4 linked regions of the Alligator mississippiensis genome follow. The protein of the gene in region 4 interacts with the protein of the main gene of each other region in a pairwise test. Links are inferred from orthologs where the notes say so. Each region holds a gene or a part of one and is shown on either strand. Other genes may lie near its edges. The genes, in order: ATN1, UPP2, NUMB and SIAH1.

Region 1 (7,271 bases), on a different chromosome or scaffold from region 4:
GCTGCAGCCCAGCTCCTATCCCAGCGGGTGCACAGACTAAAAAGTTTGTGCGCGGCCAGCCTTTTACTTGTGCGTGGTCGCGTACGCGCACCTTAGAGGGAACCTTACTTGCAAGCCTATTGAGGTTGGCCTGGATCACAAACCTATCCTCAAGTTTGGAGACTCTTCCCCAAAGTTTGGTGTTGTCAGCTAACTTGGCCAGTCTGCTTTTGCACCAGTGTCCAGATCATTTATAAATACATTAAAGAGTACAGGTCCAAGAACAGAGCCTTGGGGGACGCCACTCGTCACTGAGTGCCATGTTGATTCAGTTCCATTAACTACCACTCTCTGGGTCCGACCTTGGAGCCAGTTCTCCAGCCATCAGATTGTGGAGTAGTCGAGGCTGCAGTTGCCCATTTTTTCCATGAGGACATCATGGAACACCGGGTCAAAGGCTTTTTTGAAGTCCAAATATATGACATCAACCTCTTCCCTCTGCCAGTCAGTACACCTGCCCCCATTCTCGCAAGCAACAGTTCACTAAAATTCCTTGGGCACTCGGCTGGGGGGCTTGAATGGGGCCATAAGTGGGCAGGGGGAGGCATCCGGGAGCAGGATGGGTGGGCAGCCAGGGCCAGGACTGGGATTGTGGGATGGTGACTGCATGGGGCCAGGGCCCTGGGCAGACCTATGATCCACTACTGACGTCCTTGCAATGGGCACTGGTTCCAGGCAGGGGCATGTAGGGAGTGGATCGTGGCTCTGTCCCCAGCTCCAGCCCCGCACTGTCACTGGCTAGTGGTCCCAAGGTCTCTATGGAGACCAGCCGGGACCTGTGTGGGCAGGGCAAATGTCTAGACAGACAGGATGAGGCCACCTGTGGGCAGGAAGAAGCATCCGGGGCTGGGATCTTGGATGGTGATAACTTGGCACCAGAGCCAGGGGCAGAGCTATGATCTGCTCCCCACAAGTCCCTGCCCACAGAACCTACACTCGTCATGGGGCCGTGTGGGCAGCAGATTGCAGCTCTGCCCCAGCCCCATGCTGTCACTGCTTCACAATCCTGCCCCGTGATCTTGACCTCATCTGCCTGTCCTGCTCCCAAATACCATTTCCTGCCTGCCCGTGGCCCCATCCCATCCCATCCCATCCACCTGGCCTGCCTGCATGGGTCCTGCCCCCAGTGTTGGGTGCAGGGCAGATGGGCTGGGGTGCCAAGGCAGTGGGGCTGGGCCCAGTGGTGGTGGCAGCTGGAAGGAGCCACCGCCACTGGGGTTGCTGGGAAGTGAGTCCAACTACTGCACCGCTCCAGCCCTGCTGGGTTTCTGAACTGACTGCACATGCCACAGCCTGGGCTGTGCCCTGAGCCTGAGCTATGGGACCTGCCACAGGCTGGACAAAATCCCTTAGTGGGTCAGACAGATCCTACTCTCAACCTGTATTTTGCCCACCTCTGAGGTAAAGGATGGTCTCATGGAGAATTAGACTGTATTTTTACCTTTGCCATAGAGTTCTTATGCGATGTGGAGCAAGACACTTAATCCAGGTTTTCACTGGTGTCCCTAATGCTTGGAAGAAGATCATGAACTTTTGCCAATCTACCTCATTATCCTTCTTCAAAAACCTCATTAAATATGATGCCTACAAAAATTTGACAGTGGTTAGGCTGTTAGAGTTATGAGACTACTGCCTTTCTTTCTGTCCAATATCATCTCATTATTTCTGGCATTTCCTTTTGAATCTATCTATATCCCTCTAGGCAGGGATATTTCTTCTGTTCTGTATTTGTTCAGTACCTAATACACTGGGATCAAGGCCCATGAATGGGTCTTCTAGGTTCAACAGCTATACAAATGTATTCCTTATTTTCTGGGGCCTAACTTGAAAAAACACTTGGACTCTGATAAGTACAGGAGACAAGCATTCACAACCATGCTTTAGAATAGATAAATTAGAGGAGTGTTCTGAACAGATAACGTGCTATTAATTGCTAGTACTCTGAAAAGTCAGACCATTTCCAGTTGGTCACTCCAACTATATGGACACTTCTGACAATTTTAGTATTAATCGTTGAGCCTTAGTTCCCTGTATGTGAAATAGGGATAATGGTAGCTTACAGGAATATTAAAAAGATAAGTTCATTAACATTTGTAAAGCATCCAGATATTATGGTGATGAGCATCATTGAAAAACCCATGAGAAAAGTAATAATTCTGTGTTCATTGCAGGGTTTGGATGCCGTACAGTAAATAACGCTTGGAGCCACATAATGAATGATGAAGATAAAAATAAATATTGGCTATCCATTCAGTGAGTGCTGTTCAACCTGTGCACAGAAAGAAGCAGTAGTCCTGTGGAAAAAATAGAATGTGATAGTAAAATTAAAATCAGAATACATATGCATAAGGGTCCCAAATTAAAGTTGTACTGGCAACCTTAATTCTAGCACGTCCTAATTTTCAAGCACTTGACTTGACAATCTGGCATTCTTTGGGGTTTTCTAGTACAGTAAAATATCATTATAACGTTAGAAACATTATGGCACAGTTTGAGGCCTCTATACGTGCACTTAAGGAGCTATTAGGTGTTGCTGATAGGAACATCCTTATCTACTGAACTTAATCCAGCCAATGAAGGGTAACATGGTCTTGGTCACTTGCACTCTTTCTTGCTCAAGCTCTCTCTCCCTCCCTCTCTCTCTCTCTCACACCCACACACTCATGCATACCCACACACACACTGACCCACCCAAACACACGTATGTGCATGTGCACACCTACCCACCCAGACATGTGCGGATGTGCACACACCCACACCCACCATTTCCTTGTGTCAAGGACTGACATCTCCAGATGAAACCAATGGGAGCAGAATCAGATCCTTCTCTCTCTCTCACACAAAACAAACATCATTAGCCACTTCATTTAATTACAACCCTTTCTCTCCAAAATAGTTAGAGCATGTATTTTCAATAAAATTGAATTCTGGGGATTGTATAAAGAGGCCTTTTGAAGCAGAGGCATGAAAAGAAACACCTGATGAAACCCTAAGACTGAAAAATTCAGGGTCATTTTTAATGACGTATAACTCAAGCAGTCTTTTTGCTGAGATGAATTCAGCAGTCTCATAAACCTCCTTTGCATTGGGAATAAAGGTGGCAATTTTCAAATTGAAATAATTGGGAGGCTAAAGGAAGGCCTGGGTTGGAAGCTTACTGCAACCTTAACTCGGGAGAAGCTCCCCACTCCATAATAAATGGTGTTTTGAGGATGCCACCAATGTATTTTCACTCCTGTTCACTGTGTGGGTTTATCGTTTTGGACTGGAATCTTGTATTTTCTAAGGCATACAGCTCTTGGGCCTCGTTGCCAGCTGCATATATTTATCCGTTCTTTCTGCGTGTGCCTGCCTCTGCTCCTCTCCATCCCTCTCCTCCCCACAGTCTCAGGTACAAAGGCGCGGATTGGGTTACAGGCTTCTCCATTCTTGCAGGGCTGAGAGCCCTCTCTTGGCCTCCACACTATAGACTCTCCCTTTGTGCCGTTGCTTGGTAACTGGGAAAGGGGGATGGGACAGGCTCCAGGAGGGAAAGATGGAGAGGGGAGGGGGGTGAGCAATTGAAGTGTGTGCAGTTTGTGTAATCCTTCAGGCAGACTCTGAATGCTGATTAGATCCAGGCCGGTGAAAGCAAAGGCCAGGCATGGAGCTGTGGCCGGCCGGTTTGCACAGGCACCGCTGACCGGGCTGGGGGAGGATGCCGGCTCCAGGCACACCCTTGGCGCTGGGAGCGGCTGCTCAGCGGGTGGCGGTGCTGGAGAGCGGCCGGGAGGGCGCCAGGCTCCAGCCCCGACCCGGGCAAGACAGGGGCGGGCAAGTCTTGAGGCCGGAGGGGGGGCCTTGGCTTGTAGGGCGCCCTACAAGACCCCTCTCCCTCCCCCCGACTCAAGCCTGGCTTCAGACGGGATTAAAGGGGGCCGCCTCCCGTGGGCAGAGAAACAAGCTCTCAGACCCGCACCCTGTGGCCCTGGCGCTCCTAAGGTGCCGCCCGCCCGCCTGGCCCGGGGCTGGGGGTGCAGGCCGGGACTCCCGCTCCGGAGCGATCCAAGCCGGCTCTTCCCTCCCTTTCCTGATGCTGTTGCTCCCGGGTCTGTCTTGCCAAAAAAGCTCCAGGCTTCTCCCATTCCTTTGTACTGGGGCTTGGGTGGGAGGGGGCTTGCGGGGAGCCCGAGGAGTGGCACTGAGCCGGGGAGGGAGGCTGAGGGGCCCGGGGGCAGCAGCCGGGCCTCCACCCAGGGGCCCCGGGAAGGGGGGGCGCCGCGGGGCAGGTGAAGGCTCCCGCCGCCCCGCACTGCGTGTGCGTGTGTGTGCGCGCGTGATCGAGGGGGGGCAGCTGGGAGTGGGGCGCACCCCCTCGGCCCCAGGGGCGGGGGCTGTAGCGGGCCGGCCCCCCTGCACACACACGCACACGCACACGCCTCCCTGCCCCTTCCTCCCTCCCGCTGCCGCGCGGAGCGGCAGGATTCCTCCTCCTCCCCCGCTCCCCCGGCGGGCGCGGGGCGAGAGCCGCGGCGGACTGGGATGGCGGGCGGCGGGGCGCGGGCGGGCGCGGGGGCCGCGCGGCGCGGGGGCCGGGGCCGGGGCCGGGGCAGAGCCGCCGGCGCCTGAGCGCTGCTGCTGCCGCTCCTCCGCCGCCCCGGCCGGGCCCTGCGGCCGCTCCGCCACCCCCGGCGAGGACGGGCGCCTTCCCCTGCAGCCGACGGCTCCGCAGCGCCGGTGAGTCCGCGCCCGGGGCGAGGGGCGGGGGCGCGCGGGCAGCCCCCAGGGGGAGAGGGCGGCACTCCCTGCTCCCCCCGCAGCGGGGCCGGGGCTGGGGCCGGGCCCGAGCCGCGCCACAACAATGCTGGACAAGGAGCAGCAGCCCGGGCTGCCGCTGCCCGCGGACACCCTTGGGTCTCACTTCGCGGCGCTGCCTCTGCCCGCCCGGGCCGCTTGGGGAGAGGAGAGCGCAGCGCGGCGCCCCCCGGGCAGGACGGAGCTGCTGGCCCGGGCGCTGCCTCTCCGCACGCGCTTCAGGGCCCCCCCACCCATTCACTGCAGGGGGTGCCCCAGGGAAGAGACCCGGCCTGCAAGTGGGTTGTAGCCTGGCTTTCCTGGCCCCTTTGACCCGGCTTTTCTGGCTTCTCGGCTGGGCCGCTCATGTGTTGAGGGCTCGGCCTCTAGTCTTGTGCCTGCTGCCCCCATGGCTGGGGCCAGCCAGTTGGGTTTTGCAGGGAGCCCCCTGGGCTGTTAGCTGGGGATCCTCTTGGGCATGATCCCCTTTGGGCCACCTGCCCTTTTGTGCTCGGTGACTGTCACATTGCTACAATGCGACTCACTTGCTGGTTCTTGCATTAGCCCACCATCATTATTGTTTATCACTGAGGTGTATTTGATTGCCTTTTCTGGTGGCCATTGTGCCATCTCCGTGTTGACAGAGTTGCTATTGTGCTGGTCAATGAGCCGTGGTAGAGATCATCCTCAAATCGAAGGACTGCCGAGGACGACGTTTTGGCCAACCTCTTAGCATTATTTGCTTTTTTTTCCTTTGTGCTCTGGCTCCCTTGGCTGTTAGTTGCCCTACTGTTACTCTGATTGCCCCATGCTTCGTGGCCAGTAGGGCTCCTCTGCCCTTTTCTGGTTCTTCTGGAACACTGAGTCCTTACACAGCTTCAGTATCTCTGGCCCCAGTTGTACTGGGAGGATTGCCTGAGATTTGATGTGCCTCCTGAAACTGAAGGAGAGGGCAAAGACGACAGGGACCTATGGAGAGGGGAGAAAATGGCGAGTAATGTGGTTTGCATGTATGTGCATTCAGAGGGGTGTGCGCTCAGTGTTGGCCTGAACAGTGGAGTACTGTGTGAAGAATTGAGATGCTTCATGAGTGATGTATTTCACATTAGATACCAGGTTGAAGCGTTAATCTGTTGTGATTGTTAAAGTTCCCATCACTTTCTGCAGGAGTTGGGGTGCTAACCTCAGTGCTCCCACCTCAGTGCTCTCTATGGTAGCTTGGTTCTGCCTGCCGAAACCGCCCCATAGTTGTTGTGAGATTCAGTGCTCTCTTTCACTCCCTGCCCTTTACCATTGTGCAGCATTGCTGTATGACTGTTAAAGAACTAAATGCCCTGTACCCCAGAGGTAGACAAATTTAAATAAGCAGATGAAGTCACTCCTACAAAATCCTGACTGACATCAGGGGGGAGGTTGTGAACAGGAGCTGGTCAAATGATTTGTTGGGATTAATTTATCTGAGAAATATCACTCTTTTCTCCTTGGACTGTGTCATTATTTTCACATATGTTACTTATGATTATGTAACAAATCATCTGTGAGAATAAATGTTGGCCAATGGTTGCTAATGAGCTGCTTGAAAGGAGAATTTGCGCCATGTGGTGAGACCTCTAAGTCACAGATGATGGTTTCTGTTTCCTGATTGGAGGATCTGGTCTTCCTAGGCAGGAAGACCTCTTTTCTCTTTGTGGTCTTGGGGAAATTGTTCGAATTCTTGACTGAGCTTTTCAGTATGGCTCTGAAGGAACCATAAAGCTCGCTGGTAACAATACATCTCACCCAATCATTTGCAAATTTAATGTCTCATGAATCCTAATGAAGGGGTTCAATGGGTTTAATCTGTTCTAGTATTTTTCCTCCTCAGGCTTTGCTCCCCTCAGGCAAATTCAGTGGGCCCTTTTATCCCCACCTTATGGCTTGTCTACACAGGAATACCAGTATAGCTCCCTGTTTGGGCACTTTTATTCCTGAATACCAGGGATCAAAAAGGAATGAATGCAATATGACTATAGCTGCATTCCTATACAGGTATAATTACATCAATACATTTTCTCCTGTAGAACAGCGCTTACCTGAGCTTCACTGAGCCAGATAAGTTTGGCTCTTCTGATCTCTTCTGAGGGTTCAGTCCCTGTAGCCCCTTGTGTCTTTCTTTAATTCTTCACTGAGTTCCCTAGAGTTTGTTGTCATCTTTCTGGATTGTGGGTTGTAGAGCTAAGCACAGTATTCCACGTGAGGTCTCCCCACAGCTCTATAAGGAGAAATGACCTTCTTCCATCTTTGGGTCAGAGGAACCCAGATCAGAGTGCAGTATTCAAAGAGCTGTAGAGGGAGGGCTTGTCTCTTCTTTGAACTGAGACAATAATGGACAGACTCCTGTGTCACTGCACATGCCCACACAGCAGTTACCTGACCATGGATTTGCTATATTTGGCATTTATAGTTTGCAGTCCTTTTCC
Region 2 (7,841 bases), on a different chromosome or scaffold from region 4:
TGCAGGTACAGGATTTGCTAGAGGCATTCTAAAATATTTTAGAGCAAATTGCATACAGGTAAATGACTAGGCAGGCAAAATACATTTGAGACATGAACTCAGAGGCAAATTTAATAATTAATAATGAGTTTGTGTATTCATAACTTTTTTTTAGGCATATATTTCAAATTTGATTTTCTTTAAGTTAGAAACACTTTCCTATAAATAATTTAGCTTCTACTTCTATAGTGCCTTCTCCTGGATGATCTCAAAAGTTCTTCACAAACTTTAAGGAATACATCTTCGCAATAGTCCTCCGAGGAAGGGAAGCATCTTGCTTTTTAGATAAGCAACCACAGGCTTTAATCAATTTACCTAGTTGCAATGCAGGGGCAGTGACAGGGTAATAAACAGAATTCAGCATCCTGATCCCAGTTCTGACACAAAGATTTTCCTAAGCCTAACAGCCCATAGGGTAATCATGGGTAAGGCATGGTAAAGGTTTCTGTAGCAAGCAGCACACAAGGGAGAGTTGAATCTAGTATTATGTCAGTTTTGAGTTATACACCACATTTATTCCGATGAGGCAAAAAGTGTTGTGGCAGAACCACTACTGCCCACTCCAGCCATAGAGATACCATGCAATACAGAAATGCTACTGCTGATGGAACTGTTTTCCATACCCTGCCGCAGGGCGCTGTCTAGACAGGCTTAAACCAGCGTAGCAAAGGGCTGCCTGGCAAGACTTTCAGCATTTTAAAAAGTGGGCCTAAGAAACGAGGTGTGTAAAGAACTGGTTAACCTCTGTATCTTAAATACAAAGGGATCACTGACTTAGTGCCAATTGACTTAGTGCCATTTTGACACCCTGAGAGTTTGATAAGCAACATATCAGCATATAAGAAAGAAGACTCGGAAATAATACAATAAATCATCTTTTATAAACAGTGTGACTGTGTTTCTATTTTTAGTTACTGTAACAGGGACTTGAAACAGAAATTCCTCTTCTAACTTCCCTGTTGTCCTTTCAGGGTGGAGAGTAGTTATACTGCTTGCAGTTGCATCGCAATTAAAGTAGGAAAGCAAATGCCCAAAGTCACCTAAGAAACCAGCGGCAGAGCTGAGCCTTGGATTCAGGATACACAAAGCCCAGCCTACCGCAGTCTCCTCCAGACCACACTGCCCTTTGGTAAATGAACAGGAAGCAGCCTGACTGATTTAAGTGCTCAGAAATCATTGATGTTCAGTGGGACATAGGTCCCCAATTTCTTTAGTCTCCCTTGAAAATGTCAGCATAAAACCAAAAAAGTCATTAGGATAAAGCCTTAAATGGGTTTAATCTAAACTGACAGAATAGAAGCTCTTAACAATTCAGCTCTATTCTAAATAGTATAATATAAAAACTACTTAGTCCCCCAACTTCTACTGATTGGCTCAATCTTAAAACAGACTAAACACATTGCTGTCATTAGGACAGCACAGTGCACAATTAAACCCCCCCAAAAAACAGCAGCATTTTAAGGGCAACATTTATGCACAGTGTTTTTGAAAGGATTTCAGCAACACAGTAGGAGAATGAGCATTCAACAATAGAGTGGGCATCTCTCAGGAACCACTGCATCTCTTCGTAAGAGTGAAGACATATCCCGCCTTCTCTGAACTTTGTCAGGCCTGGAAACCTGTTCTCACTTACAAATGCCATTTCTGGATTGAGTTTTAGTTGCAAAGGTAAATAATAGCATGATGTGATTTCCTCTCTTCTGTGTCTCAATGATTTCTGTATCAAACATACTGGATTACCAGCAGAGACCACAACACTTCCTCCTAGTCCTAGAAACTCATCTGGGCTCTGACACACAAGCTGTATTCTTTCCATCTCATGCATCACAACCAGTAATAAGGATTCCTCAGGCCAAATTACTCCCTTAGCAATAGCTGTGCAACTCAATTGACTTCAGTGTATTTGCACATTTGTAGCTGATTGGAGTCCAGTAAACAATTCTGTTTGATACACAAGGTGTAGAAACCAGTTCACTCCACCTCAGCTGTGTTTTATCTAAAGGGCTAAAAAGCACAAATAGAAACAGGAAAGAATATTTTAGTCACAACAGAGGAATTTGAATAATGCATCAGAAGAACTGTTGAATAAGGAGAATCACATTTCTAATTTGTTAGACAAAAATACAACAAAGGAAACAAAACAATTCCACTTGGCACCTTTATACTGTGATCTCATCTTCTTTAAAATCTTTACAACTGCCATTTGCAAGTAACTAACCTCACTATTGTATTCTCTCTAACAAGTAACGTTAATTAGCCAAAACTGTAAAGATTTTATTTTTCATGACAATCTCTGCATTAAATGCAGTGTGCTGAAACATTTATGTCTTTGATTTGAAAACTATAGTGATTATGTTGTTTAAAGTATACAATTTAAGACTGAGAACAATGCATGTGTAGTCCTCAATAACTTTGGAGATACTCATTTTTACAAGAGATCAAGAGAAGTTCTCTCCAGCACATAAGACACATCCTTACCTTGACTGTATTACCTGTATGTTTCGATACTGTTGGCTCATAATGCTGACTCATCTTTGCAAAATGTTTTACCATCTTTAGATGCTACATGCTGAAAGCTCAGAGTGCAGTGTAACATGGAAATTATACATTTTCCACTCTGAAAACTCTGTATTAAGCATGTTAAACTGTGGTTTGAAGCTACCCAGGGTTAACATAGAGCTGCAGAGGTCTTTTTCCAAAATCTTTTGGGTGTGGGATTTCTTGCAGAGTCCAGAGACAGCTGAAAATTGTGAGGATTAGGTGCTGATAATGACCCTGAGGATAATTGTGGGGATGATGGGAAAACAGGCCCAAGAAGCAGTAGAAGGGCCAGAGGGGTCAACTGGCCCACTGTTATAAGATCCCAATATTCACAATGTTTAAAGCTGAGCTGTGGGAATAAACTGGGGTGTTTGGATGGGAAGGTCTCTTGGTAATTGAAATGGCCTGACTCAAGCATTCAGGTAAACGTGAAGAGCTGTCTTTCCTTCTGACCTCTTGCAGACTGTACTATGGAAAGTTGACTTTGCAAAGACCCTCGCCAGTCAAGCCCTGGAGGGTTTGCACAGCTCTAATTACAATCCTGAATGGTTCCAACTGAAGGGAAAGTGGAGACAAGATTTTAAAAATTAGAACAAGCCTTTTGCATAAGTGAAGCTTGCCCAGGAGGCTCTCATTAGCACTCTGTCCATTTTTATAGATCCTTCATGACTATTCAGTGGTTCAATAAAATGATGAGTATTTGCCGTAATAACCAAGGGAGCTGCTACATGGGACACATAAATCATAGCAGAATTATCTAAGACTGCTGCAGATTGAATGTGTTGGCTACAGACTCAGACATGTTTATGAGCTCAAAGCATTGGAGTAGCCAATCATCCACACTTGCCTAATTAGCCAACTTTTTCACCTGTAATAGTCAAATGTAAATGCCAAATGAGAAGTTTCTGTCCTTCCAGTCAGTGCCTAAAACAGGGTTTAATATTGTTGCAGGTAACAGGCCACAGCTCTAAAACCTTCAGTCTTTTTTATGTTCTGAAAAGACAGTTCACATGTTTAAAATGCAAGTGTACACCCATCTGAAATTGAATCAAAGTGCTGACAACATTTATGGGAGAAATGCCCAGCAAAGAACTAAGTGTTTATAGTGTCCTTCAAGAAGGGTCAGATGATCTTGTAGTTTAACCTGTTAGAAGCAGACTTTCCTGCTGATTTGGCCACATTGTTTTATTTTGTCAGAAACATCTTTTAGAACAAAAAAAGGTGAAAACAGTTGCTGATTGATACAAAGGTTTCTGCTCCAGTGCTGATGCATCACTACATCAGTCTCTCCTAAACCACTACAGGTTTAGATGAAGCAATTTGTTCTACTGCATATTCCTAAGAGCTGCAAATCTATGAATCTAATGAATCTATGTTGTTTTCTTCCTGCCTCCCACCCAACTTTTCATTTCCAACCTCTTCCATGTTCCTGCATCATGTAGACAGAGGAACGTGTAGACAAAGCTTAAATATCATGAAATAGCATTCTGAGCTGCAAATGTTGTGCTTACCAAAGCATAGAGTAGTACCACCTTTGTGCCAGAGCTTAGTTTAATGGAACTGGCAGCCAATTTTTTCACTTTCAAGTGGCTCTAATATGAATGAGTGAGCCAGATCCAGAAAAGGAATCAGGCATCTAACACAAGACTTGGGCAAACTTTTGGCACTTAGGTCCTATAGTGCAATATACCCCAGTCACCTGTTCAAGGGGTGCCTTGACTCAGTTGAGATCTCCCTGTTTGGCCTGAAAGTTCTCTACATTCAGTTCAGCCTTCTGTGCATGCCCAGTACTGCTCCAGTCTGAGCAGCTAGGCACTGAGCTGCTGCCAAAGCCTTATGGGTATCGAGAAACTAGGCAAAGTTTATATAGCACTAAATCCCCTGAGGGGTCTCCTCTCAGAAGTTCCCTAAGGTACTGCAAACTTTCATTGGACCCCCCATTAGATGAGAGTTAATTTGTTGTGTGATCAGCCACTTTTAACGTGGGCTGCAGTCATGCACTTATGTCATGGCACCGCTGTAGAGTGCTTTCAGGGGGCTGATCACACAACAAGTGTCACTGCTGTCAGTGCCCTATGAGATCAGGCAGGCAATTTGCACTCTCAGATGCTTTTGCTCTCAGAATGTACATGAGTCATGTGAGTCATATGCAGAGATAACTGCCAAGTGCGGGACCCCGAGCAAAGAGTAAATATATCAGCAGCAAGAGGTTAACTAGCTCTGGCCCTTGTGTTACCTTAGCATAATAGTGGGAGGTGAATTAAGGTTAGAAGTAACACACCTTCAAAAACAGCCAATCTATAGAAGGCCTTCTCAAACAAGTAACACATCCACAGGAGAAGGAATATTTCATTGCTGTTGGGTTGAATAGAATATATCAGAAGGAAAAAAGTTGCATTACTTATCTTGGAATGTATTTAACTTCCTGAGGAGCTGCTTCAAATAGTCTTACATGAGTTTAAAACTTAGCAGCTGAAGTAACAGAAGGTATTTTCCTTACCTTGAGTCAACCCAGGAGTGTTTTTCTGAAAGTGGGAATTCATAACATCCCTCTTTGCTGAATCCAACAAACCCGTAATGACTGAAAAAAAAGGTTATGCTGGGTAAGTAAAGGAGAGAGTTTGAGATCTGTTTTGATACGATTAGATGTGCATTTTCTGTTTTGCACTAGCCTTTATTTAAATATTGACCTTCACTGGTATTTAGTCCTGCTAAATTTATTATAGCAACTGGAAAAGGAATGCAAAGTAGAACTCTACTGTCTTAGTAGTTTTATTGTAATTTAAGATCTAATTCAGGGATTTGGGACAGGGATTTGGGACAACATGGAATCACATCATTTGTTAAGAGTTTAGCAAACTCTGCTATATGAACTAATCCAGAATTAGGGCATAAGTATATTACTGGTCATCTATTTCTGGATGAATTGTGTTAAAAAAGACTTAAGGTTTTTCTCATTGTTAAGATTAGTAGGAAATATTAATGGTAATTTTCTTTTTGCAGAACTTTTTTGGAGATAATTACAACATATTTTCTGATAACTGTATAAATGCAAAGAAAAATATTAATGCAACACTAAGGTTTTAACTGAGAGTGAAAATATTTCACTGGCCATTTATCTGGCAATAATTAAAACAGTAAGATTTTTCCCTAAACATTACCACAACAGCCACTGGCTGTAATGCAGGAAGTGTACGTGGGCTGGGTCCACCTACTGCAGTCTTTCGAAATAGAAGCCTGTGAGGAACCAGCTGCTTAAAGCCCAAGAGGGGACCAGAAACAAAGTCTTGGCAGTAAATTACAAGCTGTTGCTGGCACAGTAGCCAGTGCAGAATGCAATGAAAGGGCTAGGAGAGTTCGTGGGTAAAGCTGGATTTGAATCCCAGATATAGGTGGCAGCTGAAAGACCAGGCTTGGAAACCATTTATGTGGAATGGATACAATACGGAAGCTCTTTGTTGCTGAATGAATAGATGAATGCAGTGGGGTGGCCTGGCCTGCCACCTCCCCACTTTGTTCACCTACTTAAGATCTGAGCTGTTAGTTCTTTCCATTCTGTTCCCATAGTGCCTGATGTCTGTATTTGTTCTTCCTGTGGCAGTGGTCTTAGGTTTTGGCAGAATGGGTGCATTTTCCCAGACTTAACTTCACCTGTTCATCTTGTTTCCTTCCATTTTCCCTCTCCCTTTTGCGGCCTCAAAGGTTTTCCTACGTGTTCTGATCTTCCTTCACTGCAGTGTGTCTGGGCTCATCTACACCCCTCTCACCCTAGCCTACACCCCTTGTGATCTGTATCATTTTTACCTTTTCCCTTTACTCTCACCTAAGCACTGCCTTATTTTCTCTCTCTCTCGCTTCAGTTCTTCACTTCAGTCTCTCTCCCTACCTCCATTCTTTCATCCCTGTCCCTTTACTTTGCTTCCCCCTCAAGATCCTGCCCTCATCCTTTGGTTGTGCATTAAAGAAGAAGCCTAAGCAGTCCACTCCACTCATTCCTTCTGTAACAGTGATTACAGTTTGCTAGTGAGACCTAGTGACCTCTTCTGATGAGTTCCTCTGTGGTCACCACACTTCAGCCCTGCCTTAGAAATGACAATGCCAGATCCAGCTGTCTGCTATCACAGTGGCAGAAATGGGGGTGCTTCTTGATACAACTCTTTTCTACTTGCCAATTACAACTACAGGAAAAGAGTAGTGGTGCAATTGCATAAAAGTTGTTGGGGACTAAGAGAGGGTGAAAGAGTCCTGAAGTTATATTAAGAGGAACATCTACAGAATGGGAAGAAAATACCTGGTCTCCCCCCGCAGTGGTTGGGCCTATGACACATAGCCTAGGTCTCTTGGGCATACATAGCATTATAACAAGGCAACCCAAATTACTATATAATAGTCCTGATACTGGCTCAGATGTCATGAATTCCCTTGTTTGATTTGACTTTGTCCACATAGATTCTTAAAAGTTGTTTTTTCCCCCTCCAGAAATGGGTTTGTTCATGTTAAAAATCCTCATTTGGCTCTGATGGATGAAGACATTCTCTATCACTTAGATTTAGGAACAAAAACACACAACCTGCCAGCGATGTTTGGTGACATAAAGGTAAACAACAAATGCAAAGCGACAACTTGGAACACAAATAATCTCATTCCTCCTCCCCTTTCTTATCACAGATTTTACAGATCCCTTTATCATTCTCCTTGGCTCTTTCGAGGAGAATGAGTTAAAGCTCCCACAGGAAATGCTGCCTTTCTGAGAAGCAACTGAGAAACTGTGCTGTAGCTTCGGCAATGGAGATTGCCCTTCTTTTCTCAATAAAAGATGTATATGCAAAAGCTAAACTTATAACAGGCACAATGAGCTACTTTCTTCCCTGGAGTAGTTCTACTGACTTAGTAAAAGAAAGAACATTGATTTCAAGGGATGAACGTGGCCCATCATCATAGGTGTCATTTCAAAGTCTATGTGTTTTATTAGTAAGGAAAGAAGGATGTGCCCCATTGCTGCCATGACAGCAGAGCTAAATTATATCCCAGAATGCCTTCAGCCGCTGTTCCCAAAGGAATTTTTGCTCTGAAAGGTAGAATCCTATCCCAAGAGCTTTTCACACAGAAACCCACATAATTCTGTGATTCACTAATCTGCTCAGAAACCTAAATAAAAAGTTCTTTTTGATAAAATACATCTCAGTAAAACCAAGTTTCAAGTCTGCCATAAGAAAGTAGCATAAGCGCATAAGACCATCAGTGGAGTTCCACAGGGGAAG
Region 3 (7,368 bases), on a different chromosome or scaffold from region 4:
GTTAAAAAGTGTTAATCAAGGTCAGCTAACTCAAGTAAAAACAAATACAATGAATCAAAAAATAAACAAACCCCCAAAAGCCCACATTTTTGCCCAGGATCTACCCTTGAGGCTTGTTTGGACTAAAAGCGGCAGTCACATTTAGGTCAAGTTTAGCTATCATATGCTAGAAACTATTCCTGGCCCAATGTCCTAATATACAATTTCCATCTTCGCAGGCTTGATGGCATTTGTGCTTTCTAGACTTGCACTTAAAGATGCCCAAGCCAACAAGCTATCTATCCAAAACAACTCAGAGATTCTTTTGGCACATGAACTAACACATAAGCAGCCAGAAAAGGGCTGCATTTATGATCCAACACATCAAAAAAAATCAAGTCTAATTTTTTCAAGAAATGGCAGGCTATCCAGAAGTTTCTGAACTGCTTTATGCAAATCCAAAATCTTTCTGCTGATGACCTTTTAGACCATGATTTAAAGTTGATAAAAATTTCACCTCAAAATCTGAAGACTCAAAGATTTGACTCTGAAGACAGACCCAAAGCAATTTCTTAAGAACACACATAAAAGCTAAGGTTTACTTCTGGTTCTAGAGCAGAGGTAGGCAACATTTTTTGGCCGGAGTGTTGAAAAAAACACGTCTAACATGGAAGATGCTGGAGTGTCAACATGCCAGAGCCTGGAACAGCTGTTTGCAGCCAGCCCACAGAGCCCGTTGCAGCACGGCTTGCAGCCTCCCAGCTGCCTGCTGGGAGCAGCCTGAGCTCCGAGGCTGACAGTAGCACCAAGGCTGGCGGTGGTGTGCCAAGCAAAATGGCCTTGCGTGTCATGCTCAGCACATGTGCCGGGGGTTGCTGACCCCTGTTCTAGAGCAATGGTATGACTGCTTGGCTTGGCTTCACACCATCCTCAAAAAGGGGCCCGAAACATCTACCACCCACATTCAATCAATTGCTGGTATAGAGATAACACACCCTTCAAAATTATCAGATTCCTCAAAACACTTTTTAATCACAAAGCTTTTGACAAGAAGCATTGTGAGTAAAATAGATGAACAGGTCATAGTTTTAATGTATGCTAGCCCAGGTAAAAGGCACACTGGTGCCTGGAGTTTGCCTTGATCAGCTAACAGATTAAAATAAACCCACTGACTCAGACAGGTAACAATAGCCATGTTTGCGCTAGGAACAAGCAACAACTTTTAAAACTTGCCCAAAGACAGCTACCAGATCAATGAACAAGCTGAAGATGGCTTCCTCAAAATCTTTATAGACCAACTAGTTTTTCTCCAAACTTCTGATGTTCTGTAAACCCATCTTTTTTCCACAAAGACAAATGACAAAGCCTTTATAAGGTACACTTACCCTGGGAAAGCACAATTGTTTTCCAGGACTAATGCAGTTGCACCAACAAGAGAAAGTCAGTATAAGCAACTATAGGCAAGAGACAAGAGTTCTTATCACAGGGCTGGTGTCAACCCTTGCATTCATATCACAAGTCTGGCCCCCAGTGCATGGGTGCAAGCAATTATGCAAGCCTCAGCCTTCACTAAGGAAAAAACGGTTTCTAGCCTGGATGGCTGTGAAAAAGAATCTACTATAAAGGTGCAAGAGACCAGAAAGCTAGTCAAACCCAAAAGTGTCATTTTAAAGGTAGACCACAAAACCATATAACTTTTTTTTTTTTTTTACGTGCTTGGGATTGGTAATTGCTGCCACAGTATCAGAAAGACATTTTCATGGTATCACGATAGAAAATACCCCAGCCCTTTTTAAGTGGTCTTGTTTAGAGTCTCTTTCAGCCTTCACTACTTGCAGTTAAAAAGAGAAATAAGAGTTAACAACATAGTTGTCACTATGAACAGCAAACTGGTGGCTGATAACAGATTAAATGACTGATACCAAGGGTCTGTCCATCCTAAAAGGCAGGAAAAAGCACACACGTATGCGAGAGAGTGTGAATGTGACTGAGCGCGTGGCCATGTGAGAGTGTGCGTGCAGGCCTGGATGTGAGAGTGTGTACAAGAGTGCGAGTGTGTAGTAATGTTTCGAGTTTTGCAAACCAGAGCTTTCACTGAGGCTTCAAGCCCCCATTTAATTCAGTTACAGATGAATGAATGTTGCCGTAGGATCAATTCAGTAACCAAAGCTCTCAGATTTACATACAAGGGTGACCACAAGGCCCTAATTTGATTCAGGTTTCTGGACACAAATTCACATTGATCCCAATTTTTTAGAGGCTGTTTCCATGGAGAAGGGCCAAGTAATGAAGAAATGGAAAACCTCCGTGGATTACTGGGGGGGGAGGAGGGGATAAGAGAGGCGAGCGTTGTTTTTCCTCTTCCTCTGGAACTACGAGCCCGCGGGTGCGTGGGAAGCTGCCGCCCGGCCGCCCGCAGCCCGAGGGCGCGCGGCTCCGCTGCGCCAGAGAACAATGCTGCGGCCAGGCCGGGCCATTGTTACGGTCCCCAGGCCGCGGGGGACACACGGGGAGGCGCAGGGACCTCCCTGAACAGCCGCTTGCAGCAGAGGCGTCGGCAGCGGCCGCAGCCCGGCCCGGCCCTGCTGCCTGCCGGAGCCCGGAGCAGCTGCCACGAGCTCGGGAAGAGGCGGAGAGTGGTGCGGGACCGGCCGGGCAGGCCGCGGCCGGGACCGCTGCCAGCCGGCAGAGCCGGCCCCACTCTCCGCCGGAGCCGGGCGCCAGCCTCCCCACTGGCCCGGCCCGGCCCGGCCCGGCCCCTCACCTGCCGGCCCCGAGGGCACCGCCCGGCCCAGCGCGGCACCGGCCAGAGCGGGGGGGACGGCGCCGGGCGGCCCCGGGCAGGAAGCGGCGGCGGCGCCCCCGAACCGCGGGCTGGATATCGCCGCCCCCCCCCCAGCGGACCCAATCCTGCCCCGCGACTCGGCCTCGGTCTCGGCCCCGGCCACACTCACCTGCCGCCGCCGCCTCCCCGCCGCGCCGCCTCGGCCGCCCTTCGCCACCCAACACCAGCGCCGCCGCTGCCACCGCCCCCCTGACAACAGTCCCCGCCCCCCGCCCAGCCGCGCAACCTACTGGTCGCCCGCGCCCGCCTGGTTGGCTTCGATTGCTCGGCGCGCCTGCTCGTCACGGCTCGGCCCCGCCCACCCCACTTAGTACCCACCTATTCACTTTAAGGGAGGGTAGACTCGAAGTGGGGGGGGGCTTTGCCACCCCCGTTCCTCCCCCCCCCTCACCGCTCGTCCTCCGGATTGGCTCAAGCTGCTGAGGTTGAGAGGTAAGATAGGCTGCCAGGGCTGCCAGCTGTTGCACTGATCCTGCCCCCTTCCCTCCCGCCTTCAGCAGCATGGTCGGCAGACTGGTGGCGGTGGCAAGGTTGGTTGCACGGCGCACAGGCGAGAGGGAGGGGCAGAGAAGACAGCACCTGGGCCGAGTTAACCCTTCGTGGGCTCCGCGCAGCCTCTCCCGCGCCTCTGCGGAGAGGGGGCGCTGTGCCCGCCTCATCCCTCGGGAACCTGCGCCTAGCCAAGTGCAGCATGAGGGATTTCAGCTTGATGCCGGTATAGAAGGAAAGGGCCCCATGCAACTGAAACCCTTTTTTGGGCTTTGCCTAGAGCTGTAGCTATGCGGATTATATCAGGAACACTAAAAGTACGCCATTGCCACGGCTCCCAGGCCCAGCAAACACTGCTCTCCCACAGCTCGGCCGCAAGACCACATGTGTGAGAGACTACCATAAAGCTATTGTGACCCAAACCTCCCAATCAACAAAGACATCTCTACGCCACCCCTGGATAGACTCAAATCTAGAAAACCCTTCTGGAAATATGCCAAGAAGCTCTATGATGATAACAAGAGCACCAAAGAACAATGGAGGGAAGCTTGGGCAAATACCAGCCTACCACAGAAATACATTGTCAGTGACCCTACAATTCCCCAGCTAGGATTTGACCTACCAAGAAAGATTTGGTCCTCCCTGAATCGCAACCAGACACTTCATGGAAAATGTGGACACCTGCTCCATAAATGGAGAACCAAAGAGAATCCGGGTTGCGATTGTGGTGCGATTTTTTTAGACGATGCAACACATTGTGAATGATTGCCCAATTAGACCTTTTAACGATGATCTAAAAATCCATGCAGCTACCCTTGAAGCAGCCAAATGGTTATCAAATTTAGATATTAATCTCTGAATGTTGTAATCCTACAATGTCGTAAGAAAGAAGTGTTTCATGGTCCAGACGTGGGGGTGTCTCAGCAGAAAAGGGACTCCTAAGTTTAGGCATCTGAATTCTCCTGAGCTTTGATACCCACCAGGGTGTTGGGGCTTGCTGCTGCTGCTGTCGCAGCCTGGTGATGCTCAGGAGCTCCAGGGTTGCCCACCATCTTTGCCAGGCAGTGCTGCCCAGTTGGCACAAATCTGCTTACATTTTGCTTTTTGACAAGGAGCCTTAGTGCCAACTAGCTGGAAGCTGAGCATGACCGTGTGAGCCTGGGCCCACCTCCGTCCTCCTGCAAGAACTCTCCTGCCACAACACCCATATTTACTTATGCTACTGTTCAGTAGGGAAAGTCAGCTTCAAGAAGTGACAGTGGTAGTGTTTTGGGTGCAGCACCCAAATGAACCACATGCAGAAGGTATAGAGCCAGGAAGCACTAGCCAAGAATTCCTTGCCTTCTGTGAATGGCCTTGGGCAGCTCTTGTATCCAAATACAAGTTAGGGCAGCCTTGAGCTCCCCCAGAAACAGGAAATGCAAAGGTTACTTAAAGCTCTTCTTTCCCCTTTTTCTGAATCAAATAAAGGAATGGAGGAATGGGAAATCAGAGCTCAGGTGTTTCGGTGTGGGCATCCACAAATGAGGCAAACTAAAACCAATATCCATATTTAAAACTTAGGCTAAATTACTTGTTCATCATTACATACGAAGTCAGTGGCAGAAGTGAGAAGTAAACTCTGATTTTCTGAGCCTCAGCAAGTGACTCAACCACAAAATCACCTTTTGTTAGACTATCAACACTGAAAGCAGAAATCTATTTTTTCCCCTCTTTTTACATATGACTCAGCTTGGTGAGTGAAAATAAACTGGTTAGTTCTACTTCTTTTTACACTCATCTCTAGTTACTTCCGCACTGCTGTTTTCACACACTCACCAGTGTATAACTTCAGTATGTGTTAAAATATATTTAAACTGCTTGAACTAAAAATGTTTAAAAATTAAGGGAATGTTTGCATTGATCTTAAGGTTTTTTGAAGCCTAACAAGCCTAACATTGTTTGTGACCTGAATAGCTCCTTAGATATGTTATGTTCCAGGTGGCTTTAATTTAGCTCTTCCTCATATTTACCAAAGCTAGACTCTGGACTCTCTGTTGCTGACATAGAACTTGAGATAAAGTATTGAGCTTTAAACCTTCATTCCAAGAGAAAGATTGTCATGTTACAAGTGACCTCAACTTTCACATGTGATGTAGCCATGAACTGGTAAGGACAAACCAAGGACACTACTGTCAAAGAAATACATTACAGTTTTAATCGATAAAGTCCAAATATATGCCTATCTCCAAGCATATCTGCATTTTTTTAATGTACCTGCTTGTAGCTATTCTCTTGGTTCTGTTAATGCTGCTGCCTGCTGACTTGCCCTAGGTAGCCACTAATGACTGAGATGGGGAAAAGAGGACATGAGGGAGGATGAAGGAAAGCTAGCCATAAAAGAAGTCTTGAATTAAACCACACTCTCACTCATTATGATGGTCAGGGGGCCAATTCCTACAGCCTATAGATGAGCTTCCTGGAGAGGGTTTCCAAGGATGCAGGACAACAAATCCATCTCCAAGGCCTAATGTCAGGCGCAAGACCTGATGATACAGTAACCTAGGACTGTCCAATTTCTGAATGGGCAGGAGTCACCGGACCCCAGTCACACACTGTGTAGGTCACATACCTCCAGTGCATGCCGCATGGGCTGCACACTGCACCATGCAAGCCCCCCTGCTGCACTGCATGGGCCCACAATGCACTGGGAAAGCTCCCCACAGTGCATGTGCCCCCAGTGTACCATAGCCCCACCACATAGGCATGCCTTGCTATGCAGACCCCCTACATGCACGGATGTGATAGTCCCCTACTGCTGCACAGTGGGCCACTCCCACTGCATCCCACCAACTCCAACATGTGTGAGGTCCCCAAGTCCCCTGAGCCCTCTAGCTATGGGGTCCCTCAGCCCCACTGGCCTCACTGCTCCAGGGGTGGGGGCAGGCAGTGGAAGCTGGAGGAGGAAGGGAGAGGCTTGGGACTCTGGCAACAGCAGCAAGAGAACAAAGGGAGGAGTTATCACTTGGATCAGGAGTCCAGGGACTGTAGTTTAACCCCTTGGGATCTGTCGGTTGGACAGCCCCACGATAACCTATGAATTCTAGGGGTTATGAATGGCTAGCAGGGTCTACATAGCAAATCCAAAAACTCCACCCAATTTTTATTCCTGCCCTGTCCCAAAAGCATCAACCTAGGAACAATCACAATAGAGTGGAGCTTCACGGGTTCTGGAGGGTTGTAGACTCAGTTCCTTGAGTCCTGCTTACTTCTACCCAGCAGAAGTGAATTGATTCAGTTTAACTCTAGACCTTTCCATAGCTACAAAGGAAGAAATAAAATCTGTACCATTTCTCCTAAGGATTCTATAATTTAGGAATTTACTATTATTTTACAAGCCCCACGTTTTCACTGCAGTGAACCAGATATTGATATGGCTCACCTTAGTTTTCTCTGACTGGCCCTCTGCGTTACAAAATAAATCTAACTTATGTAATCTCATTGTGTATGACGTAATGAGGGCCAGGATGCTCTATCATTCTTTCATTCTTTATAGGGATAAGCTATACTAGCATACACAGTATGCTATACTTTTAACAGTATAAGTACGTCCAGAAAGAATTGTACTACTTTGACTACACAGGTATAAAGCAACATGCTTTGTATGTTCAAACAGGCCCCAAGAATTTCCTAACATTTCTCAATGTTTCTGTAGCATCAGCACAGCCCCACCTGTATTAGCAAAGGTGAAAGACAGGACAGAAAGTTAATGATGTTTTTTCCTATATTGCTCTGAACAGAACTCAATGATGTGCTTGTTAAAACACATGCATCCTGTTTGCACTGAATTTTCCACCTTGCTAATACTGTACTGCTAGACAGAGCATGGAAGGATGTCAGAAAATCCTCAGTATAAATAAAATTATATAGTCATGTCATACAGGAATCAGTGAAATCATAGGACATTTTCTTCTGTTAGGAACTTATTGAAGGAGTAAACGACAAATTGGTATGCAGTAGATTTTGCATTTTGAAAGGGGTCCAAAATCCATTTTATGAACAAAGCAATGTAATGC
Region 4 (7,543 bases):
TGAATGACCATCTAACACTAATGCCCATTTCATGGTAAACACTCAGCATGTGTCAGCTCTCTAACCTTTCAACCTGATTCTTGTTCTCCTTTTCATAGCAAGAGAAGTCTACAGAAACCTAGAAGCAAAGCATTGTTATCACAAGCCCACTCAGCTCCAATATAACTGAGGTCTGGACTGCACATGTTTAAGTATCTACCTTTGATAGCTGCACACCATGAAGACAGAACAAGGCAAGGAAACAAGTCCCCGAGATAGCCAGAGCTTGGAAAATGTCTCATCTAAGAACCACTTCCTTGTTACCCATGCACCTTATCTGATTCACATACACAGCTCCCACAGCCCTAGTTCCGCCCCAAGTGCTTAGGGTTTGATTTTTCTTGGGTTGACACTAACCAGCAGGGTCTTGATGTGTACTGTACTGACATGCTGAAGCACTGAACAATCCTTACCTTTTTATGGGTCTCTCAGACATTCAAAACTACCATTATGGGGCCCTCAGTAGTGGACCTCTGGGGCTCTAAGTTGATATTATTATTAGCTAGCCATAAGACTTACATATTTGGATTTATTTTCCCACTGAGGCACTTTTACTTAAAGAGAGGGAAATTAAAGCTCGCTCTCTCTCAACCTGACCTTGGCCTCCTTTCTCTAAATGGAGATCAATTCACTGCAAGAGAATCCAGTACCTCTAAATGCTTTTGAGTAGCCAAGCTCCCTTTGCTGGTATGGAGCAACTCATCGCTGCTTCTGGCCTGTCACTCTAAGACTCTTCAGATGAAGATTTCAGGTTTATCACTTTTCTTGGAAGCAGGCCCACAGTCCAATATCTTGGCCCTGGAATCAGCACCCATCAACCTCCCCCCACCCCCCCCCCCCGCAAGCCTCCCAGTTGCTTTGATCCATTCCCTCCAAAATCCACTTTGGACAGCTGAAAAACACAAAGGCTTTTGTAAAAGAAACCGGCACGCACTCATATGCTGAAGTCTTGTAAGAGTCGCAGGTCTCTGCTTCCCACTATTCTTAAGAGCTGCATGTGCCCGAGACCTGCTACCACTCAGGCTAGGTGACAACTCCCTTGTCACCTTTTATCAGCCCCATCCACAAAGAATCAATATTACTCACAAACCAAATCTTAGTCATGAGCCCCAGGGAGAAATCCTACACACCTCAAACATGCTGAGCTCTCACACTGCCATAGTTTCTCTGGGTGGGGGTGAAAGGAGAGCAAATGAGCAGTAAATGGTAGTTGTTAGCAAGTGAATCCTCCTTGGAAACCATCTAGCAACTCTTCCTTCCTTCCTCAGCTATACACAAGGTGAGAAAAAAATAGCCTTTCCTTTCTTAGGCCTTGGTATACAGTCACAAACAGGATATACAGCCCGTTCAAACTCTCTCAACATAAAAGAAAACAAATCCTGCATATCACAAACAGAGTTCATAAAACTGAACAGAAGTCAAAGTTACATAGAGTGGTTCTCAACCTTTTGTACCAGGACCCATTTGGTAAACATGGATAGACTGTCCCAACCCAGTGCCCCCAGGCCCCAGCCCCCAAGTATGGGGCAGGGGAGCCCCAAGCAGCCCCTGGCAACCTGAAAGGGAAAACCCACATTTTCGCACATTTTTCTCCTTTAAAGGATAATCCATTTTTTAAAGTTTGTTCACAGTCCTTTCATATAGTCTTGCAACCCATTTTTGCATCATGACCCATGGGTTGAGAAATGCTGGCACAGATGACTAAACTATCGCACTGTTTTAAACAGGCAACCTAGAACCACATTTGTTCAAGGGGAACTACTGAAGCCAACCGCTTCCAATTCAAGAAAGCCTGACGGGCCACTAATTAGCCACCGCGCTGTCCAAACTGCAAGCCCTACTAGTCTGACCTCCATTCCCATTACAAAAAGCTGAAAAGTTACACAAAACAATGAACAGAGCAAGAAGTTCAAGTTTGTTTTCCCAAGTTTAAATTTTTAAAGCCCGTTAGTTAGCACTAACATTTCTGCTAACCAACTATATTTTTCTCTAGATTGAAGTAAACAGTTAAATATAACTGGAAAAGCAGCCAGAAGTTGTGCAGAAAAATAAAAACAAATGCAAACAACTTTTGCAGTTACACGAGGCTGGATATAAATTAAGCTGCACAGCAAATCGGGATCAGGTGAAAAGAAAAAATGTAATTGCTATTTTGGTTTGTCCCGTGCATGAGATACCACAGGAGTCTCCACTCACCGGGGGCGGGGGAATTAGTCTCTAAGCAACACCGACAAACCGAGATACTGAGTCATCACCAGAAATATTTTGCGTAGTTTCTACCGAGCAAACTACATAACTCAAAACACTTTCAAGTGGAACTAACAGCAGCGGGGGCAAATAAAGGGAAGAAATGAGTTGTACAAATGCCGGGGGTGTTGGCTGTAGCAGACTCGCCCTGCGCCCGAAGGGTGTTTGTGCCCCAAGCTGGCGGAGAACAATTTTTTCCAGCTATGTAGGTGGTCTCGCATCTGCCCAAACCACCTTGTAAACATGTAGCAAGAAAAACAACGCTCCGTAACGCAGTGAAAGAACTGACGAGAGGGAGGGAGCGAGCGGGCGAGGAGCCGGCCGGGAAGCAGCCTGGGGCTGCCCCGGCTCCACGTCCCGCCGCGCAGCTCGCTGCTACCTTTCCTCTTGCCGGCTTTACTTCCAGGCAGGCACGCGGAGAGGACGCCCTTCCACGGGTACAGAAAGCTGAAGGCGGATTTCCCCGTCATGAGGAGGGAAACAGCTCATCGCGTCTCCCCATAGAAACAAAAACACGAGGCCTCCCCCGGCAGCAGAGCCGAGCCGGGTCCCGCCTCACGCAGCCAGCAGCGTCCGCACCGCCGGGCACCTCCGCCTCCCTCCCAAAATGGTTCCCGGCCCCGCGCCCGACGCCTCCCGCCCCTACGGGGCGCCCGGCCCCCGGCCCCGGCCGCGCCGCCCCCCGCCGGGCGCAGGCAGCCGGGCCGGGCCGGCGGGACGCGGCCGCGGGGCCCGAGAGAGCAGCGGAGCCGGGCACTCCCGCGCCCCGTGCGAGGCCCGCTGTGCAAAAGCCATTTGCTGCCCGAGGCCCGGCCCGGCTCCCGGCGCTACTCGAGCTCCTCCTAGCTCCGGCCTGGCAGCACAGGCCGGGGGGGGGGGGGGGGGGGGGAAGAGGGAGAGGCGGCGGCGTCCACCCCACCCCGCCGGGCTCACATGATCCGGCGAGCTAACAAACAGCGGGGCCGATCGCCCGCCACAGCCAAGGAGACGCCGCGGAGAAGGGGCGCTGCAAGGCCCCGCGGCCGGACAGCCCCATCGCAGCCTCCCGGGCTCGCGACACCCGGAGCCCGGCCCGCTCGGCTACTTGTGGGCAACTCCGCGCCCATTGCACCGAGGGGCCTCTCCCCCTTCGCTTCCTATTTCTGCTTCGGATCGGGGCAGCCACCTCACGAACCATTTCATTTGATTCGGTGTCAGTCCAGAACAGTGCGAACGCTTCTTCCCCACCCCCCAGTCACATCACTGGTTAAATAAAAGCTGTCACAGACTTCAGGCAAAGCCCAAGTCGCAGGGAGAGAACAGCCGGAGTTCAGAGGTAGGACAGAAAAACCCCAGATGTAAAAAGCTGGACCAATCCAGTGATAAGAAAGTGAGGCCAATGAGATAGCACCGACATGATAACCTCTGAGCATCGAATCCAGCGAAGTCTGAGTAACAGAAGGAAGGGCTTTTATTAATACTGTACTCATAACACACCCAAACACGCATAGGGAAGGGGAAAACAGTATCTAGCCAGTTCAGTTAAGGACTGAGAAAGTTGCCAATTATTTTGGTGTTCAAGGAGCCTTCCAGCAGACCAGAGCAGCTCGGACCCTACATCCTCTGTATACTTTGAGAATGAATTAAAAAGCTCTTTAAAGTAGCTCTTGTGCTCTTCAATACGGCATAAAGCAGCTTCTCCCAGAAGAGATGCACAGCCCCTCAGCAGGTTTTGTGGGTTTTTAGAACATGTTCATATCACCCCTTAAATCCCAGCATAAGCAGGACCTTAAACAAGTTATTCCAATCGTGTTATAGTAACGTGATCAAGACAAAGTTAACAAAAAGCACATCACCTGCCTACCAAGAAAAGGCAAACAGCTTAAAGATTCATCCCTTGCTGCTGGTTAAGACATCTAGATACACGTTAAGGCAACGGCATTAAAAGCCTAATTAAAAGATCCTCTTTTCTTTCAGCTTCCCAATAATTTTAGTTTTGCAACATCTTTTTTATACTTCAAGCCCTGAACTAAAAAGGTCAAAAGCAAGCCAAAACAAAACAAAAAACCCTACAGACCTTCAGGCAAATCTGAGATCTTTTTCCACCTATTTTAGTTGGTCTAATAAAAAGGTATCGGATTTATCCAAATAACTTTGCCTGCCTATGTCCTTAAACCATCACGGCTACAACCTACACCCCTACACACCTTCATGCACCTCAAGAAAGAAAAACAAGGACCAGATTAAGGGGCAGGGTGAATGTCCAATGAGGTAGAGGGGACAAATGGGAGACTGAACTAAGGGAGAGAAAATAAGTCCTCAGGAATGATCCATTTAGGCACCCTAAGCAAAATGGAAGCTGAACTTCAGTTTCTTTCCCCTTAAACTGAGAAACATGTATATATTCACATGTAAAGAAGCAGTCAGAGAGAAAGCAGTTAAAGCAGATGCACAGGAGGAGGGAGCTAGAGGTTGGATAGAAAGATGGAATATTCCCACTGAAGACTAAACTGCAGTACAAATATCAACATGAAAAAGGAAGCAAGCTAGGAAACATAACAGGCTATGCCTCCAAAGTTGGAAGTTTTACACATGCATAGACCAAGATAATCCTGGTTTTGCAATTTCCAGAGGTCCAACACACATACACCCTCCCACCCACCTCCTCACTCAAATATAAACAATCTTGTACACTGCTAAACATTTAACAATATTAAAGTTCAAGACAAAAATAAGTTGTGTTTTAGCCATCCAATTTGGTAGTACAAAAGACTTTGGATAGTAGTTAAAAAGCAACTTGAGTGAGATAAAGGTAGAAAACATTTAAAAGGGTGTGTTGGGCCATGCAGTCTTTACACTTTGATATTTAAATACTGTCAAGGGCTGTATTTATATAATAAATTTTGAAGTTCCTAAAGGAATATAACAGGGTAACATGTGGCCAGTGTGCAAAAGACATCAGACAGAAGAGGCATGCAACAGAAAGACTGTTTCAAGGATACTGTTTTGGGAGTCACTTATCTGTAAAGAACGAAGGGAGGGAAGTTATGACCTCATATTAAAAAAAAAAAAAGCAATTGTGAAAATGATATTTAAAAGATACTGGCATAACTCTGTGGCTCATTTCTATCATGCCTTAAACTGAACACGTGGCCACTTGTGCCCAGGGACCTGTCAAAAACCTGTGCACCACCCAGCTGGGCACTACACGTGGCTTCATAGATCCCAGCACAAGGAAAACTGGGCATCAGTTGCTGCAGCCACATTCTAGGGAGAAGTGAAAACCCCGTGTGTCACCCAGCTGGGGAGCGCACAGGATTTATACAGTTCCCCATGCACACAGAGCCTGGTATCAGGGTGCAGCAGCCTGCTGCCAGGCTCCCTGTGTGTCATAACTTAAAAAAACCATGCCTGGTCCACAGCCAAGCAGCACATTCATTTTTACTAGTTCCCATCTCACAGGGACCCCAGAACTGGACTGCAGCAACCAATTCCCAGCAACCAATCCCAGGGTCTCTGTGCCCTCCATCTGGGGTTTTGACAATCAGATGATTGTCAGCATCCCGGTTGCATCTTGCTCATACAGGAGTGCTGGGGATCATGAGCCTGGGCTCCCAGCTTTCCCCTGCACCAGCAAGTAAGGCACAACTGGGATTTAATCTCCAAACCCAAAATCACATGTCCTGCATGGTAGGATCATGGATTAGAAATCCCATCACTTCTTAAACTGAAGAACTGTCAGGGGCCTTAGTCTACTCTATTACTGAAGCTCTTAAACATTCTTCCAGTTTTCAGAAATGTTAATGTTCCAGTGAACTATTTAATGAATTTTCACCGCCCAAAGTAGAAGTGCAAACTGTAAACAAAACCGGGGAAAAATACTGCCTGCTTTTAATGAAGAGAAGCTTTTTTTTTACTAAAGAATGTTGTCTTGTAATCTCATATATACAATGTTAAGAATGGACAAGTAATTCCAAGAAGTCAAGAAAAATGCAAAAAAGTAAGATTGCCTTCAGAACTTTAACTTATACCCATGTGCATATTTGGTGTACAACAACAAGCAATACATTAAAGCTACAAATTTAACCAAAGCCGAAGAAAAACAGAAAAAAAAACAAAATACATACCTGGCAGATGGTAGAGTTAACATTTCTGCTTGAGCCTCTCTGATTTCAGTCTGTCTGTACAGTCATAAGAAGAAATTGCTTACCTATAATTCTGTTTCTCTGAGATCACTAAAACAGTGATTCACAACCATGGTGCTGTGGCATCTCTTTAAGGGTACAGCAGAGTGCCACAGGGCACCACTCAATATTAGCACTATTAGATGTACTACATATGATCTACAGTATCAGTGATTCTCAACCAGGGCCCCACAGCACCCTGGGATACTGCAAGATCCTTTTAAGGTTGCCACAGATGCCCCTCCCCTGGGTGGCCTTGTGCATGCTCGTCTGTGGCCAAGTAAGCAGGCATCGGTGTCTGTCTCTGTGGCAGGAAGGTGGGGCATGGGTTCTTCCCTCAGTCTGCTCTGAGGCTGTTACCACTGCCCAGCCAGGTCCAGACGAGGTTACTGCAGTCCCTGAAGAACATGGGCAACCAGCTCCACATCAACTCTATCAAGGCCACCAGAGCAGCCAGCTCCAGGCAAGTCATGGACTACCAAACTCTGGGTTCAGTGCCTGCCCCACTGCAGATTCAGGCTTTTCTAGCAGTCCCCCCACACAAGTGAACCTTCCCTCTTTACTTTGCCCCAGGCAGAGGAACCAAGGCCTGCCACCTTTCAGGCCTTGTAATGTTCTGCTGCCCCATCCCCTTCTCTTCCAACCCTCTTGACATCCTCCAACTTGTCACATGTGAAGCCCGGCACCTTTTCCCTGTTGGCCAGGTGGAGCCAGGTCCGGCCAAAAGGCATTCCCAGGCTCTGCCCAGGGGTAGAGCCCTTCACCTAGAGTTCAGGGGAATCACCCTGGGGTAGCTAAGGGGAGAAATTGGCCTGACAGTTCCCAGACGAGGCTTGAAGCCATATGTAGGGAATCCACGAACCATGCCAGGAGTAAACATATTCTGGGCAGGGCAGAGCCAAGGGAGTGCTCCCCTGTGGAGGCCTAAGGGGGTGCATAGTATACTTATATTATTTGCATACATCATCATGCAATAAAATAATCAATTATTAATTGGATCAATATATTATTTATAAAATATTCATACTACAATTACAATAGCTTTTTTAAATAGAGTGCTGCTAAATTCTGAAAAGTTAGAGTCCAAAAAGGTT

The links.
Region 1: the proteins of SIAH1 (region 4) and ATN1 interact in a two-hybrid assay, tested with the Homo sapiens proteins (2 studies listed by BioGRID and IntAct). The link is inferred for Alligator mississippiensis from reciprocal best matches to the Homo sapiens genes SIAH1 and ATN1.
Region 2: the proteins of SIAH1 (region 4) and UPP2 interact in binary tests that used the Homo sapiens proteins (3 or more experiments, as listed by UniProt). The two-hybrid records come from large-scale screens. The link is inferred for Alligator mississippiensis from reciprocal best matches to the Homo sapiens genes SIAH1 and UPP2.
Region 3: the proteins of SIAH1 (region 4) and NUMB interact in a two-hybrid assay, tested with the Homo sapiens proteins (2 studies listed by BioGRID and IntAct). The link is inferred for Alligator mississippiensis from reciprocal best matches to the Homo sapiens genes SIAH1 and NUMB.

What each region holds. Positions count from the first base shown.
Region 1 is NC_081824.1:244,060,994-244,068,264, forward strand, and holds the start of ATN1 (atrophin-1), read left to right. Parts: upstream 1-4,266; 5' UTR 4,267-4,755; intron 4,756-7,271. UniProt on the Homo sapiens protein: Transcriptional corepressor. Recruits NR2E1 to repress transcription. Promotes vascular smooth cell (VSMC) migration and orientation. Corepressor of MTG8 transcriptional repression.
Region 2 is NC_081827.1:222,472,709-222,480,549, reverse strand, and holds the start of UPP2 (uridine phosphorylase 2), read left to right. Parts: upstream 1-4,839; 5' UTR 4,840-5,157; coding exon 5,158-5,183; intron 5,184-7,059; coding exon 7,060-7,177; intron 7,178-7,841. UniProt on the Homo sapiens protein: Catalyzes the reversible phosphorylytic cleavage of uridine to uracil and ribose-1-phosphate which can then be utilized as carbon and energy sources or in the rescue of pyrimidine bases for nucleotide synthesis.
Region 3 is NC_081825.1:236,385,338-236,392,705, forward strand, and holds the start of NUMB (protein numb homolog), read right to left. Parts: upstream 3,011-7,368; 5' UTR 2,934-3,010; intron 1-2,933. UniProt on the Homo sapiens protein: Regulates clathrin-mediated receptor endocytosis. Plays a role in the process of neurogenesis.
Region 4 is NC_081833.1:53,966,636-53,974,178, reverse strand, and holds the start of SIAH1 (E3 ubiquitin-protein ligase SIAH1), read right to left. Parts: upstream 3,016-7,543; 5' UTR 2,757-3,015; coding exon 2,666-2,756; intron 848-2,665; exon of another isoform or gene 690-847; intron 1-689. UniProt on the Homo sapiens protein: E3 ubiquitin-protein ligase that mediates ubiquitination and subsequent proteasomal degradation of target proteins.